2 linked regions of the Sus scrofa genome follow. The protein of the gene in region 2 purifies or fractionates together with the protein of the main gene of each other region. This does not show direct contact. Links are inferred from orthologs where the notes say so. Each region holds a gene or a part of one and is shown on either strand. Other genes may lie near its edges.

Evidence for each region.
Region 1: the proteins of MMGT1 (region 2) and FLOT2 purify together in Homo sapiens (affinity purification with mass spectrometry; 3 studies listed by BioGRID and IntAct, with this or other methods). This does not show direct contact. The link is inferred for Sus scrofa from reciprocal best matches to the Homo sapiens genes MMGT1 and FLOT2.

Annotation. Positions count from the first base shown.
Region 1 is NC_010454.4:45,117,590-45,121,235, forward strand, and holds the start of FLOT2 (flotillin-2), read right to left. Parts: upstream 2,915-3,646; 5' UTR 2,765-2,914; coding exon 2,716-2,764; intron 1-2,715. UniProt on the Homo sapiens protein: May act as a scaffolding protein within caveolar membranes, functionally participating in formation of caveolae or caveolae-like vesicles. May be involved in epidermal cell adhesion and epidermal structure and function.
Region 2 is NC_010461.5:111,155,601-111,159,346, forward strand, and holds the start of MMGT1 (membrane magnesium transporter 1 precursor), read right to left. Parts: upstream 2,699-3,746; 5' UTR 2,635-2,698; coding exon 2,556-2,634; intron 1-2,555. UniProt on the Homo sapiens protein: Part of the endoplasmic reticulum membrane protein complex (EMC) that enables the energy-independent insertion into endoplasmic reticulum membranes of newly synthesized membrane proteins.

The DNA.
Region 1 (3,646 bases), on a different chromosome or scaffold from region 2:
TGTAGTCAGTGTTAACACTGAGCCATAAGATCTGATTTTTTTTTTTTTTTTGCTTTTTAGGGCCACACCTGCAGCATATGGAGGTTCCCAGGCTAGGGGTCAAATTGGAGCTACAGCTGCTGGCCTACACCAGAGCCACAGCAACACAGGATCCTTAACCCACTGAGCAAGGTCAGGGATTGAACCTGCATCCTCATGATTACTAGTCAGACTCGTTTCCACTGCACCACAACAAGAACTCCTCGAAAATGATTTTTAAGGTAACTACAACAAAGCAACAAAGGCAGTACAGTAGGAAAATATTTGCTAATACTACCGAGGATTGTTGTTGACATTAATAATCATAAGAAACACTAAATTTCCGTTAAAGTTAGTGTCAATAAAAATGTACTCCCCCCAATCCAAAGATCTCTAAATTCTTTCTACAAACCCCAGGTTAAGAACTTCTGATCTACTGTGGAGATGAGAGAAAGGTGTATGGTATTTAGATTCTCCTTTTAAATTCCCAAGAGTAGAAACAGAGGAAAAGGTTTTGTATTACATAATTAAGGAGGGAAGTTAGACAAGAAGAACCTTTTTTTTTTTTTTTTGCCTTTTTGCCATTTCTTGGGCTGTGCGCTTGGCATATGGAGGTTCCCAGGCTAGGGGTAGCCACCGGCCTACACCAGAGCCAGAGCAACACGGGATCCAAACTGCGCCTGTGACCTACACCACAGCTCACGGCAACGCCAGACCCTTAACCCACTGAGTGAGGTCAGGGATCGAACCCACAACCTCATGGTTCCTAGTTGGATTCGTTAACCACTGCACCACGATGGGAACTCCCAAACCTCCAGACTTTTCAAGTGAAAAAGATAATGGTGAACTGTATCAGCATCCTCCTTCTGAAAGTGGGCTGTGTGAGATACCCCTGGACTTAGAGGCAGGCTCAGGTAACCAGGTGGGGGCAGGGCAGGGAGGCCACGAGTACAAGGGAGCTGCATCTTAGCATGATTATGTCAAATCCCAAGGTTCTATTATGCCGGGCATTATCTCTCTCTCTTCTCTTCCACCCTCCCTTGACTCCAGCACTCTTAATTCTCAGCACGCCTCCTCTCCACACCATTAAAACAGCTTCTAAGCCAGCCCTGCTTTGGCCACTGGCCAGGGGACCAGGTTCCTGGCAACTGGAAGGCACAGTGCAGGGTTTCCTCCTGCCTCCAGTCTCAAGGGTCTCTACAAGGACGAGAGCGGAGATTTTGTCTCCTTGGCCCAGAGTCTGGGCTTCTAGAAAGAAACTCCACAAGCAAAACCAAGTGCAGTGTGGCTCAGATTGGGGTTTCTACAAGCTTCTCTAGGGGTGGGGGCTGGGAGACTGGCCCAGGTCTTTTGTTTTTGTTTTTATGGCTGTACCCAAGGCATATGGAAGTTCTCTGGCCAGGGATTGAATCCAAGTCACAGCTGCGACCTATGCCACAGCTGCAGCAATGCTGGATCCTTAAACCCACTGTGCCTGGATGGGGCTCTAACCTGTGCCTCCACAGCGACTTGGGTGGCATTCTTGACCCATTGCACCAAGGCAGGCGGGAACCCCTGGCCCAGGTCTTACAGAGGTGTAGGTTTGGCCTCAGTGCTCTCTGGGGGTCTCCCTAGTGACCTTACGGCTAGCTCTGGTTTTCAGGGAGGTAAAGAATCTTAAATTCCCCCACAGGGGTAAGGTCTTAGTGAGGGAGAGTGGGGATTTCCTGTCCCAGGGAAATCAATTTTGAGATCCACACTGAGCCAGAGGCCATGTTCTGGGGTGAAAGTTTCCAATGGATTCATCACACCTCTCAAAGGTGGACAGCTTCCTGCCCTGGCCCAGCACACCCTCTTCTGCTCAATTCTAGAGCCAGCCCTAACGACTCTGTGCACAGGCGGAGAATCCACACTGACAGTGGGAAGTAAAGACAGGAGGGATTCCTGCAGCTACAGGCCTCCAAGCTGTCAGGAAACAGGCCCTCTCCCCAGCACCTGTGAGCTTGGGCTGCACAAATTGATGGCTTGAAAGGCTCCAGCCTCTTCCTCAAATTCCCAAATATACAACATACACAGCAGCCTTAGGACAAGATCCCTCTCATCTCCCCAATACTGCAGTCCCCCGGCCCCACCTAAGCTCACAGAAATTCTGGAGCCTGCAGCATTTTGCAACCTGAGCGACACAGCCCAGAGCCCGGTTTCGCAACCTGTAGAGGCCGCACCCGCGTTTCCCAGGCGGGCAGTGCCAATAAACCAGCACGCCCCAGCCTGCTGGGAATTAACGGGTCTGTGCCCAGATGGGCACCTGCCTTCCAAGGCTGCGTGACCCACCCTAGTCCCGGGCGCTGGCATCCAGCCAAACTGTGTTCCCGGAACCCCAAGGCTTCAGTTCAGGACCCCCTAGGCCACAGGGGCGACCCTGCTAGGGGAGGAGACGAAGGAAGGAGGGAATAAACACCGGCAAACACGCAGCGGGGGAAGGCGGGGGGAGAGCCCGGCGAGTGCCCGAGAACGCGGGGCAGGAAGGTGGAGCACAGGGGTCCCTCCTGAAAGGGTCTCAGGTGCGGCCCGGGAAGCCGCGGACTCAGGCCCCACCTCCCGCGCTGCCCCCCACCCGCGGAGCCCCTCCCCGTCCGCTGCCCAGCCCGGTCCCCGCCCTCCCGGGCACGGCCCCCCGCCCCAAACGTCTCCGGCCCCCCTCCCCCGCCGCCCCCTCACCTGAAACCACCAGCGCCTCGTTGGGCCCCACCGTGTGGCAATTGCCCATGGCGCCGGAGGGACGGAGGGCCCTCGGGGGGCCGCCGAGACCTGGACAGCAGCAGCGGGCCCGCACCGCCGGCCGCGCCCAGCCTATCCCGCCACCCCCAGCGGCCGCCCGCCGGCGCCCCTCCGCGGCCGCAGCCTCGCCGGAAGTGTGGCGGCGGAGGGCGGGGCCGGCGTGTGGAGGGAGGCGGCCCGAGCCAGGCTGTCAACACGCTCGATTTTAATTTTCAAAGTATTTGGCCCAGCCTGCCCGGCCTGTGGAAGTTCCCAGGCCAGAGATCGAACCCGGGTCGCAGCAGTGACAACGCAGGATCCTTAACCTGCTGTGCCATCAGGGAGCTCTTCAAGTGGTTGTATTACACAGAGCTGGCATCGTGGGGGCTCGGCCCTCAAGCAGTCCTGAAGGCGTTCCTTGGGGAGCCTGGATAACAACTGCCACGCCCCGCCTCGCCTCCCAGCACCCACCTTACAGGGGTGGGCCCTGGAGTCAGCCCGCCTGGGCCTGGGCTCCGATCTCAGTCCCTGCTCTTTCTAGCGGAGATCCGGAACGAGTTCCCTCTCTGGCTGCCTAGTCCCGCCTCTGGAAAGTGGGAATAATGTAACTAGGTGATCGCAAAGGGCACAACTGAACAATTCTCCATACTGATGGTGCATCAGATTAAAAATGCCCAGGCCTCCATCATCCAGGGCTGAGTGTTCCTCAGGGTAGAGCCTGGAGATAAGAAATTCAAATTCCTGAGGAGCAGCATCTGGCACAACCGCCCCCCCTCCCCGCCCCCCGGGCTTACTGTCACTCTCAGGAAGAAATCATCACCCTTTATTTCCTTCAACCAGGAAAAGAGCTCTCCAGGACATATACCTTGAAGCCCCCACAAAGTGACCATGG
Region 2 (3,746 bases):
CCTACTGTCCGTTCAATCCCAAGCTACTTCTCTTCTTTGCAGGAAGCCCAATCTGACTCTAACGTAACTCGACCTTGAGCAAGGCATTTCCTCAGGTGTAAAAGGGGTTGGACCTCAGTCATCTGTCTCCTTGCTCTAGTACTGCACGAATTTACAGCTGAAGTCTATTGTAGGAAATGGCGCAGTACTCCAGCATCCTCAATTCCTCTAGGGCAGCGCTTCTCAAATGAATGTGTGCACAGATCACCTGGGGAGCTTATTAAAACACAGAGTCAGACGCCAAAGATCTGGGGCGGGGTCTGAGTGTCTGCATTTCTGACAAGCTCCCAGGCGAGTCCCAAGATGCTGGTCTACTGACCACACTTGATCGGGGCTCTTGGATACCTTTATTAACCCCTTTGCCACCTGAAAAATGACTTCCCCTGCCTCAATATATCTTTACCTACTTTTAGCCTAGCATCTGTATGACTACTGTGATTGTTTCTTGATCCATTTGTTTCTCCACTTGACTCTGAACTCCCTCAGGGCATCATTGCACCTTCTAGCACCTAAGCACAGTGCAATTTCAACCAATTACTCAAGACTGAATTTTACCAAGCAGTGCAGCACACAGGCTCTAGAATCAAACTGCTTGTTTTGAAGCGCCACCATTTATCATCTCTGTAATTTTTGCACAAGCTTCCTAGCAGTGTGTGTCTCAATTTCTTCATCTTTCAAAGGCAATAATAACAATAATATCTGCCTCACTGGTAGGACTGAATTATATAATACCTGTAAAGTGCTTAGTTCAGCGCCTGGCACACCGTAGGCACTTAATAAATGTTGACTATTATTATCGTTATCATTAAAGGTTGGAGTTTTTGAGAAGCTATCACAGAACAGAGGAGCCTGGGGAACATGACAACTAAATGTAATACAATACCCTGGATTGATTCCTGGAACAGAAAGAAGACATTAATGGGAAAACTGGTGAAATTCAAAGAAAAGCTAGACTTTAGTTACTAGTAATGTGCCACTGGCAGTTTCTTAGTTGTGACATTACACCGCAGTAATGTAAGATGCTACCAGTGGGGGAACCTGGGGGGAGAGGTATACAGTAATTCTCTGTACTATCTTTGCAGCCTTTCTGTAAATCTAAAATTTCACAACAAAAATTTAATAAAGCTGAATTTCTGTCAGACAAATGTCATAATACACATATGTAAAAAGTAATTTTAATAATTGGATCCTTTTAATTATATATAATAAATAGGACAAAAGGTTTTGTCTTGAAAACAATTGGCGCTTTGAAGGAAGTCACATTTCGTTTTCTACTTTAGTCCTGAAGATGGAAAGTAATCTAGCAAAGAAAGGAATAAAGGTCAACTCTGAATTTGTTCCCTTCATTCAAGTTCTTAAATACCTACAGTGGAGAACACTGTGCTAGGCATGAAATTACAGAAATAAACAAAATATACATTGTCTCTGTCCTCATGGGTTCTATAGGTTAGGAAAGAGGTCAGCAAACTGTTCCTGTAAAGGACCAGATATTATTATCTGTTGCAACTACTCAACTTTGCCCTTAGTGAGCGGCCAGACAATACCCAAATGAATGGGTGTGGCTGTGTGCCCATAAAACTTCACTGATGGACAGTGAAACCTGGATTTTATATAACTGTCATGGATCATAAAATGATATTCCTTTGTTTTTTCCAAAACAAATTAAAAGTCTAAAAGCATTCTTAGCTCCCTGCAAAAACAGGAGGGAGGCCGCATTTGGCCCACATGCCAGAGATGGCTAGCTCCTGGTCTAGGAGAGAAGACCTCAAAACAGATCAACCGTCTCAAGACTGCACTGCATCCTCTGCTGGACTCCAGGTTTCTTCTTGACCTCACAATTGTATGCGTATGATAAAGTACTTTTACTTTTTTTTTTTTTCACTTAAACTTCCCTATCGCTCTTTGACATAGACAGGGCACGAATTAAAATCCACCTCAATGAAACTTCAGGGAAGGGATATGATGTGCCCAAGGTCACGGATTTAGTGGTAAAGCAAGTTTTTAAGAACCAGCCTTCCAATCCCCCAGTTCAGTGCTCTTCGCCCTGGATCACAGTGCCTCCCTGAGGCAAATGGTCACCTAACTTCTCAGTGTGCCTGGACAGCCCAGGAGTGCCCAAGATGTTGTCCATCTAGTTGTCATGGGGCCGTGAGCATCCGAGATCCTCAGTCTGACACTTTGTCTGATCAGCCCCACGCTGGATCTGACATCACTTGTTTCGAATTCTCGGATAGACTTCCTCTCTGCCCATCCTGCAGCCCGCCGGTCCCGTGCTGAGCCCTCTCCCCAACACCCCCTTCCAATCCTGCTGCAATCCCAGGTGCCCCACTCTCCTCTAACTCACACTGAAAGCCTTGCACCGGGGAGCCCTGTACTGCTTCTCACACTCACCCCAAAGTCTAAGGTCTCAAATGACCGTTCCCGGGACACTCGGTCCGACACTCCCTTCAGGGGTGCGCCCACACGTTGCCCCCGGAGTCCCGCACGGGAGCGGTCCCCGTCCCCCAGGCACTTACGCTGCGCAGCGGAAAACGCCGCGTGGGCTAGGGCGAAGAGGCCGATGCCCACCAGCCCCTTCCAGAGCGACGGCGCCATGACTCCGAAGGAGCAGCAGCCCAACAAAGAAGCGAAGGGCGGCGGAGCCGTTCCTTCCTCCACCGGCGGGTGTCCGCGCAGCGCGGAGAGATGACGTCACTGAACCCCTGGGCGCGAAGTGCCTGAGAGGTGGGAAAAGCTAAGAGCCATGAGAAAGCGGAAACAGGAATGCCGGGAAGAAGGAGAAAGCGACACGGAAAAAGGTCCGCGAGTGGCGAGGAGCCGGGCCTGCGCCGGGCTGCCGCTCTGCGAGGGGCGGAGCTGAGCAGAGGGCATCAAAGAGGAGGCGAGAGCGAATCAATGGGGAAGCGGAGAAGATGGGCGCCAGCAAATGAGCGCGCGCCGTGGGGCAGGGGGCGGGGCCTGCGGGGAGTTCCGGGCTGGGCAAAGGAATTGGGGCACTGGGGGCTGGTGTTAAAGGTGGTCTGTGCTGGCTCCCTACCCCTGGGCAGGGGGAGGTTGTTTGTTTGTTTTGCTTTTCCCTTGTCAAGCTGCGTTCTTTGTTTTCTGTCGACCTTTCCTGTATTTCAGCCTTCTGGCAACCGGCACTGCGGAAGGAGGCAAGGGTGTGAAAGCGAGGTGGCGGGTGGGATGTAGAGGAAAACCACCCTGGATTTGGAGCCCCAAATAAGTGGTAGGCCGGGGGGAGGGTAAAAGTTAGTTTCCTTCTAAGTGTCCGTACCTTCCCGCCCAAAGTGTAGCCCAGCGGGACGTTCTGTCATGAAGAGAACCAGTTTACATAAGGGAGAAATGAAATGGGAAGAATAAAAGGATGCTAACAACACAGGCCAATCTTCTGCCTCTGTGATCAGAATAAAATATACTCTCCTTTCTCGATATGTGTGTGTGTGTGTATTTGGTCTTCAGCCCATAAAATACAGACAATTTGATATCGGAACTTCATACACCTAAGAGAAAAGTTATATTCCTTATGCTTCTTTAGAAATGACTAGTTTAAAATTGAATAGCTTAGAGCCCTTCCTGTGCTTCTCCCTGGCTTAATTGCACTCTTTTTTTTTTTTTTGTCTTTTTGCTATTTCTTTGGGCCGCTCTCACGGCATATGGAGGTTCCCAGGCTAGGGGTCGAATCGGAGCTGTAGCCACTGGCCTAC